2 linked regions of the Tamandua tetradactyla genome follow. The protein of the gene in region 1 interacts with the protein of each later gene in a pairwise test. Links are inferred from orthologs where the notes say so. Each region holds a gene or a part of one and is shown in the gene's direction. Other genes may lie near its edges.

What was found.
Region 2: the proteins of ERICH2 (region 1) and MACROH2A1 interact in binary tests that used the Homo sapiens proteins (3 or more experiments, as listed by UniProt). The two-hybrid records come from large-scale screens. The link is inferred for Tamandua tetradactyla from reciprocal best matches to the Homo sapiens genes ERICH2 and MACROH2A1.

Annotation. Positions count from the first base shown.
Region 1 is NC_135329.1:142,355,683-142,359,428, forward strand, and holds the start of ERICH2 (glutamate-rich protein 2), read left to right. Parts: upstream 1-880; 5' UTR 881-992; intron 993-3,746.
Region 2 is NC_135346.1:14,678,486-14,682,231, reverse strand, and holds the start of MACROH2A1 (core histone macro-H2A.1), read left to right. Parts: upstream 1-946; 5' UTR 947-1,129; intron 1,130-3,746. UniProt on the Homo sapiens protein: Variant histone H2A which replaces conventional H2A in a subset of nucleosomes where it represses transcription. Nucleosomes wrap and compact DNA into chromatin, limiting DNA accessibility to the cellular machineries which require DNA as a template.

The DNA of each region.
Region 1 (3,746 bases):
TTTATAGCCCCAGAGGGTACCTAACTCCACAGAGTGGTGAACAGAGATTGGACCTCAGATCCTGTGACTACTATATAAATTCGAACCTAGATTTAATCCCAACAAAGGCTCCCGTCAAAACATGCTGCCGAGCGAGCTACAAATAGATCCTAATGTCTTCCCCCATCCCAAGTGGGGAAAACAACTAATTCCTTCCTGGACGACAAGTTTGAGGGACAATTAGAATTTTCTAATTGAAAAACTCCCCCACCCTTTTCTATGACCAAAGCAGTTATTTAAACAGTAATACCAGCCATTGGCCTATGTCAATTTGATTTCCTCAACCTACAGAGCAGCAGCCCCTGCCTACAGAAAACCCAGACCTATCCCTGGCTGGTGGGAGAGGTGGTTCTCTGGTTCTAATCATTCATCTGTTTTCTGGGAAAACTGAAGTCCAGAGTTTCTCAGGAAACCCAATGATCTCTTCGGGCGAGTTCCTACTCAAGGGCCTCGTTTTACTCCACAAGTTTAAACTACTAACGAGGCGACCCCGCCTCTTTCCCTCTCCCCGCTAAACACAGGGCCAGGTGTGAACATGGACATTCCAATCCTCCTGCCTTCCCCACTTCTCAAGTAACCGGTGCGCGTGCTGACTTGCATCCGAGGATGTGTGTATCCAACCCTCGGCTCGGCCGGACCCCGGGGACCTCAGGGATCTCAGCGACCCCAGCCGCTTGCCCCACCCCTCTGCCAGCTCCCGGAGCTTGCTCCGTCGGGGGTCCACGCCCTCTGCTCCCTCCCAGGGCTGTCCCAGCCTCTTCCCATCTTCCCCCGCCCCCGTCCCGCCCCGCCCCCGCCCCTTCTCTACTCCCCGGACTCCGCCCACGCACGGTCTTGTCTCCAGGGTGACACGGCGTCCAGAGCTACTAGTTCCGTAGCCCGCGTCAGCCGGGAGCTGGGTTGGCCTTGCGTGTCTGCCCTTCGGGTGGTCGGCGTGAGACGGCTACCAGTGGGTAAGTGGCGCCGCGGCCACTGCTGCTTGCCCTTTCCCCAGCCCGTCCCAGGCCTCAACTAGAACTCTCCGCACCCGGCGCGCGTGAATCCACCAACTTCTCTGCCCGCTCCAGGTTCGGGCTCTGCGGCCCAGCAGCCGGCGTGGGGCCACCCGCGAGGGTGGTATTCACGCGGCTGCAGGTATGCCTCGCGCTCCGCCTGCTCTGCAGTCGTGCGCTGAGGAGGGGATGTTTGTGTCTACGTAAGTGTGAATGATAACTGGAGAGTTCTGCCAGGCATGTCTACACCCCATTCTTTGATCTGCCGATTCGTACGCGGCAATCCCAGCCCCCCCTCCCCAAAATCAATGAAAATAAGGAGGAGCGTCCTTCCTGCTCCTCCCCACCCCTCAACACTCTTAACATTTTTTTGGAAACAGCTTAATGGCCAATAATGATGAACACTCCCTGGCTGCAGTTAAGACATCACTACTCTCCAGAAGTAACTTGCTCGGCTGTAAAAACTTTTAACCGTACGGTCCTTGTTTTCATCTGCAAAATGAGGTGTTTGAACAACGAATCGCTTCTAAGGCCCAGTTGTCAACTGTCTGTGAGATGACGCAATTGACTTGATACTGTGGTCTTTGGGCTGCTCAAACTAGCAAACTAGTTTAACTCCCACCCCTACCCCCGCCCCATAGCATTTAAATTAACATATGGAATAATAAGAAGTTTATTTTTCATTTTCCCAAAGTATATAGGTGAATTGGCTGAATTTGTTCTTATCCCAAGAACGAGGCCCCTGAAAATTGCTTTTTTAAAATAAGTGTGAAAAAAGCACTGAAGATGTCTTGATTTGCTTCATTCTTATGAAAACAAATGCAGTGAACCCAAATTCCAGTTATTTTAAATTGCTTTATTTTATTTGCTAATTGAAGTCGTTTTTGTTTGTGCTTTTTTAATCTCGGGGGCGGGGGGGTGGGGCGGGGACTACACGCAACAGTATCGTTCTTTAAGTGTTAGCGTTTTCCCCGAGCTAACTTCCAGTACCTTTGTTGGGATTCCATTGCGCCCATACCAGAATTCCAAAGCTTCTCTCAGCCACCACCTCCACCAACTGCCCTACATCCTCAGTGGGTTTTCCTCCTTCTTCTTTGCCCTTTCTAGTCTCAATTGTGCACTTAGAACAATCTCCCTTCCTTAGAGTTCACCCACAACTGTCCTTGCCAAGGACCCCCACCATACATTTCTAACTTCATGTACTGTCACTCTCTAACACGCACCTGAGCTATTCTTCCCCCTTTCTATTGACTGACTCATTGCACAGCAAAACTTAGGTAAATGCCATCTTCATTGTGAAACCAGGTGCAGGTCTGCCTCTTAAAGCAGGTGGAATCAATCATGCCTCACTCTGTGCTCACACAGGGCTGATAATTCTAGGATTGTAGCTCGTATTCCATGATATCAGGAATGTTAGCCTTTTTTGGTTTTGAGAAATAGGAGCCAAGGTTTCTTTTGATTTTAAGTGACAGAAACAACGCAGACATGCTTAGGCAAAAAGAGAAATTAATTGGACTGTGGTAAGGGCAGAGGTTGAGCTGTAAACAGGGACTCAGACATAATCAGCGTTATGTATGTGTATCTTTCTCTTGCTCTCTGCCACTTCCCCCTTCTCTCTTCATCTATCATTCCTGGTTTTTTGGTGTACTCTGCTTCATTCCCTCAGGCCAGCTCTTTCCTGGAAGCTAGAACCATGGCTGCTGGGACGGGAGACCAGGACTCATAGTCTTCTACCACTGTGATGTTTCCACTTGAAAAAAATCTCAGAAAAAGAGACTGATGAATGTAGCTTGAATCACATGCCCACTGCTGGATCCAATCACTGTGTTAGCTTATGAGTTACTATTATTGGTCTGTCTTGGGACAGAACATACCCTTTTGTTCAGTTGGCTGGATATGTTAACCAAGTAAGAGGAAGGGGTCTATAGGCAGACAATGTCCATGGTGAGGATACCTGTGGAAATTATAATACTTGGGAATACATGAAACCTGGAGAACAGGCCTCAGAGCTGGATTCTGGAACTGGAAAGTTGTTTAGGGGCAGCTTTGTTGATTGGACTCTTTCAACCCTTCATCAGCAATTTGTGACTTACCTTCTCTTTGCTCTGCCAAACTCACCACTCGTTCTGCCTCTGTGTTTCCAATTCTTCATCTTCTCCACTTCCTGTCTTCTTTCCTTCAGTGTCATCCACCCAGTCACCAAGACTGTTGAAACATATCAGGGGAGTCAGCCCATGTTTCAAAACCCAGAGAATGAACGAAGTAGAGACTGAAAGGGCTGGTAAGATTAACTATCATCAATAGTAATGAACATGCACTTTTTAAAAACCTACTTCATAATCCAGAGGGATGAGGGTTTACAGTTAGGATGGAAATAATCCTACTAAGTACAAAAACAGAATACATACTGCGCTGGTTTGAAACTGTTATATATCCCAGAAAAACCATGTTCTTTTCATCCTAATCCAGGATTGTGGGGCAGACATGTTGTTTGGGTGGGACCTTTTTTTTTGGCATGGGCAGGAAAGAATTCTGCCACTGAGCCACCATTGCACCACCCTGGGTAAAATCTTTTGCTTAGATGGAGATGTGATCCCATCCATTCAAGCTGGGTCTTAATCCTTTTGCTGGAGCCCTATATAAAGAGAATAAAAGGTAGAAAACATAAAAAGAGCTCAGAGCTGAAACAATGAACAGAGAAGTGAAACCAGACAG
Region 2 (3,746 bases), on another chromosome or scaffold:
AAGTTAGGACACCTGCTTTTCAGAGGCAGCCTGAGGGCTTTGATTACCTCCACGACCCCCAGCAGCGCATCTAAGCTCAGAGACCTCATTTAAACTTCACATCAACCCTGCGGGGTTTGTATTTTTATGCAAATTTGGTCCGCAGCGGGAGGGGACCATTTCCACATTCCGGTGTTGGTGGTTGGAGCAGAAGAGAGGATCCAATTTAAGTAACTGGGTGGGGCACTAATGCGTTGGGGCGAACAGCCGATTTAGGAATACCGGGATGAGCTTTGCGGCGGCCCCTCGTCCTTCTGCTTGACCGCAGTTTTTAAAAAATGTGTGCGATGACAAAAATCACTGTTCGTATTAGTAAATCCCAACTTGAGTCCAATAGCGAACGTTTGCTGAATCGAAGTAGCTAACCGCTTTAAGGCGCACAACATGACCGAACTTCTGCAGGGGACCAGGAAGAACTCCGGGACAGCTGGCCGTGCAGCCACGGGGCAGACAGGACTAGTGCCTTATATCCCAGGACCGCGGGGGCGCTGAGGTGCGCGGGAGCTTCGTGGTTGGTTGGGAAGGGGAAAGTGCTCTGTGGTAACAGCAACTGTGCCGTCCTCCCTGGGTATAAGGGGAAACTTCCTAGGGATGAGCAGCGAAAGTGTCGTGCCGAGGACCAGACACACAGTGGGTTCATTGTTATTGGAGACCCAGAAGCACGGACGCGCCTTGGAAGAGCGCTTCTTCGGGGGCCGGGCCTATTCCAAGGACTTCGCTCAAGGAGCGTCCCGGAGCTTGCATTCCTGGGACACACCGAGTGACAGCCAAGGGCCTGAGCGCGGGACGCAGCCGCGGGGTTGGGGTCAAGGCCGGGTTGGCCGGGCTGCGCGGGGAGGGGTGGCCGGACGCGCGGGGCCGGGATGGGATGTGACGAGCGGCGCGCTGTGCATTGTGGGAATCCCGGGGCCGCGGCTACTGGTTCCAGTTCACTCGGCAACGAAGCCGGGCGGAGGGGGCGAGCGGGCGGGAAACGAGGAGGCAGGCGGGTGGGCCAGCGAGGAGCGCGGAGAGAAAAGGCGCGAGCGGCCGAGAGGGCACAGGCCGAGACACCTTGCAGCTGCCGCCGCCGCCGCCGCCGAGCCGCCCCGTAAGTGCCGAGCGGACCCCCTCGCCGCGCGCCTTTTCCTCGCAGCCCGGGGCCGGCCGTCGCGCGCCTTTCGGCCGCGGTGCCTGGGAGCGGCCCGGCCTCGCGTGCACCCGGGCGGCACTCGGCTGGGCTCTGGCCGCCCGGCTTGGCACGGCCCACGCCGGGGCCTCATGCTCGCCCGGCGCCCTCCCAGGCCCCGCCGGGCCGCGCGGGATTCCTGTTGGTTTTGTTCACACAGCAAACCCGGAAACCAACTTCTCTCACAAACGCGTTCTCCTGCCCTCGCCTTGGCGCTTTTGTGGGAAGGGGACAGTTCTGGCCCCTCTCCCGGCGGACCCTGTCCTGTGTGGACGGATGGGCTGGGCCGGAGGAGGCCCCGCGGCACTGGCTGGCCGGCTTGGGCGCCCGGGAGCCGTTGTGCGCGGAGTTGGACTTGGTGAGGCGCCCTCCGGCCAGCGAGTTGCCGTCCCCGGCACAATAAATCGAGCCCAAGACCCAGGGGGCCGTGGTGTGGGCGTCGGGCTCAGTATCTGCTGGGGGTGGGGGTGGGGGTGGGGGTGGGGGTGGGGGAGGGGGGTGTTCTCGCGGGATCGAAGCCTGCTGGGGCGGAGGGGAGGCGTGGGGTGGGGGGAGTCTTGTTTGAGGATGGACTAGAGAGGGGCACGAGAACCCCCGTTGCTCTAGCCGGTCTCCCCATTGGCCTTTTGTTTGCTTTGTGCTTGGGAGTTGTGCTTTTTAAAAATTTTTTTTAAGGTAACTCAGGGAAGAGACTCGCTGGGGTGGGGTCGGATGGGGAGGCTACTGAGCAGGGTTCTGCCTACTGGGTCACCTGACAACAGGTGTGCGAGATAGCGCGCCCCACCCCCACTCCTGCAGAGACCACAGATTACTCAAGAATCTTGCCAGTAGATTGCTTTTGTTAAAGGTTCTTTTAGATAAGATGCTAGGGAAAATATTTCAGAGTTTAAAAGTGAGAGACTTCCTTGCAAACAGCTGAGATAAACTTTGAATTCAACAATTACAATTACCATGTAGTCCTTGTAAGATTTTTAATGATCCCATAAACGGAATCTGAGAATAGACCATAAAAGGGACACTTCCCTCTTTTCACACACCTTGGTGGTTTGAGGTTTTACCCTTAAGGAGACAGGGAAGGAAGTGCTTTCTTCAGGGAGTCAGGGAGTTTTGAGTAGCTTTAGGTTTGAGTGGGAGACTCAAATTGTAAATTAGGTGGAATCCACACTAGGCCATCTTTAGGTAATATTGTCATAGGTGTTAAATCTGAAATGGACAGCTCACGCCTGCAACTGGAATGAATACCCCTTGTGCACATCTAATCAAAGTTGGGCAGTGTTTAAATATTGCACAAGAAAACCTCTGATAAGGATGGATGTTTTAAACTTGTTTTTTTTTCCTTAAAAAAATGAAACAAAGCAAAACAACCCTCAAGACTTTAAACCCGCCTTCCTGGTCTGTGATTTTGTTTTTAATGTCAGTTTGTTAATGCTGATTCCTCAATATGGGCATTAAGGAGGAATGGGTGGAGAGGTAAATGAAAATTATTAGAGGCAGTGTCTTTAGAATGAGGCAGAATGGGTAACATTTTAGTAAACTTTGAAAATTGTTTAGAACATCACATATGATATTCTAATACACAACTATAAGTCACTGGTTTGATTTATATCAAATGGGCCAGGGCCAGGTGGTGGGGCATCTCAGTCTGCCTTTTTTTTTTTCTTTCCTGGTCCAGGAGACAGCAGAACTTCTGGGAGAGCCCCTCATCTCTTCGCCGTAGAGTCGGTCTGAGTACATGTACTCTGGGACCTGCCTGTAATACCTCTGGGGCTAATATTGCCCCAAGTTGCTGAAAGGAAATTTATTTAAATAAACAAAGCACAAACTGATAACCCCAGCCGACAGTACCTAATAAGAATCTGTATGTGGTGTTCTTTGGAATTGCAGCAGTCTCTCGTCCTTGTTCACCTGCCCCCTCCCTCCCCCAGGGTTTGTGTAGGCCTTTTAAGAGCCCCATTCGTGGAACCTTGCTAGGAAATGGTGAGTGGAGCCCAGACTTGTCCTATGGGTCCCTCTTAGAGATACATTGAACCCTGCCTCATCTCTTATAAGTGAGCCTGAGTGGGTTAGCTATTTATTCCAAGAAGTTGAATACCTTGTTTGCTTGGACAAAGCCTGTCAGAGTGATGTCTTACATTCTTTCGATATATATTCCTGAGGGTCAACTGTGTGTCAGGCATTGGGGACATAGCCATGATCAAAAAAAGCCCTGTTCCCCCACTTAGGAAGTTGATTTTAGGAGAAGGCAGGCAAGCAGTTGTTATGCCATCAGTGCAGGGGCCAACAGTGGAAAATGAGCCCTTACCTGACATGGAAAAGCCAAGTAGAACTTGATTGGCCAAAGGAGGGTAGGTGAGGGCAAGCATTTGAAGCTTTTGGAACCACATGTGCTAAGTCTTAGAAGAAAGAAAATTGAGGTCATACAGGAATCAGGTCATATGTGGATCAGGATGGCAGGAACCTGGTGGGAAATTAGATGAGACTGGAGGGGCAAATGGGACAGATTGCAAAGAATCCTAATCATAACCACATTGAGGGATTT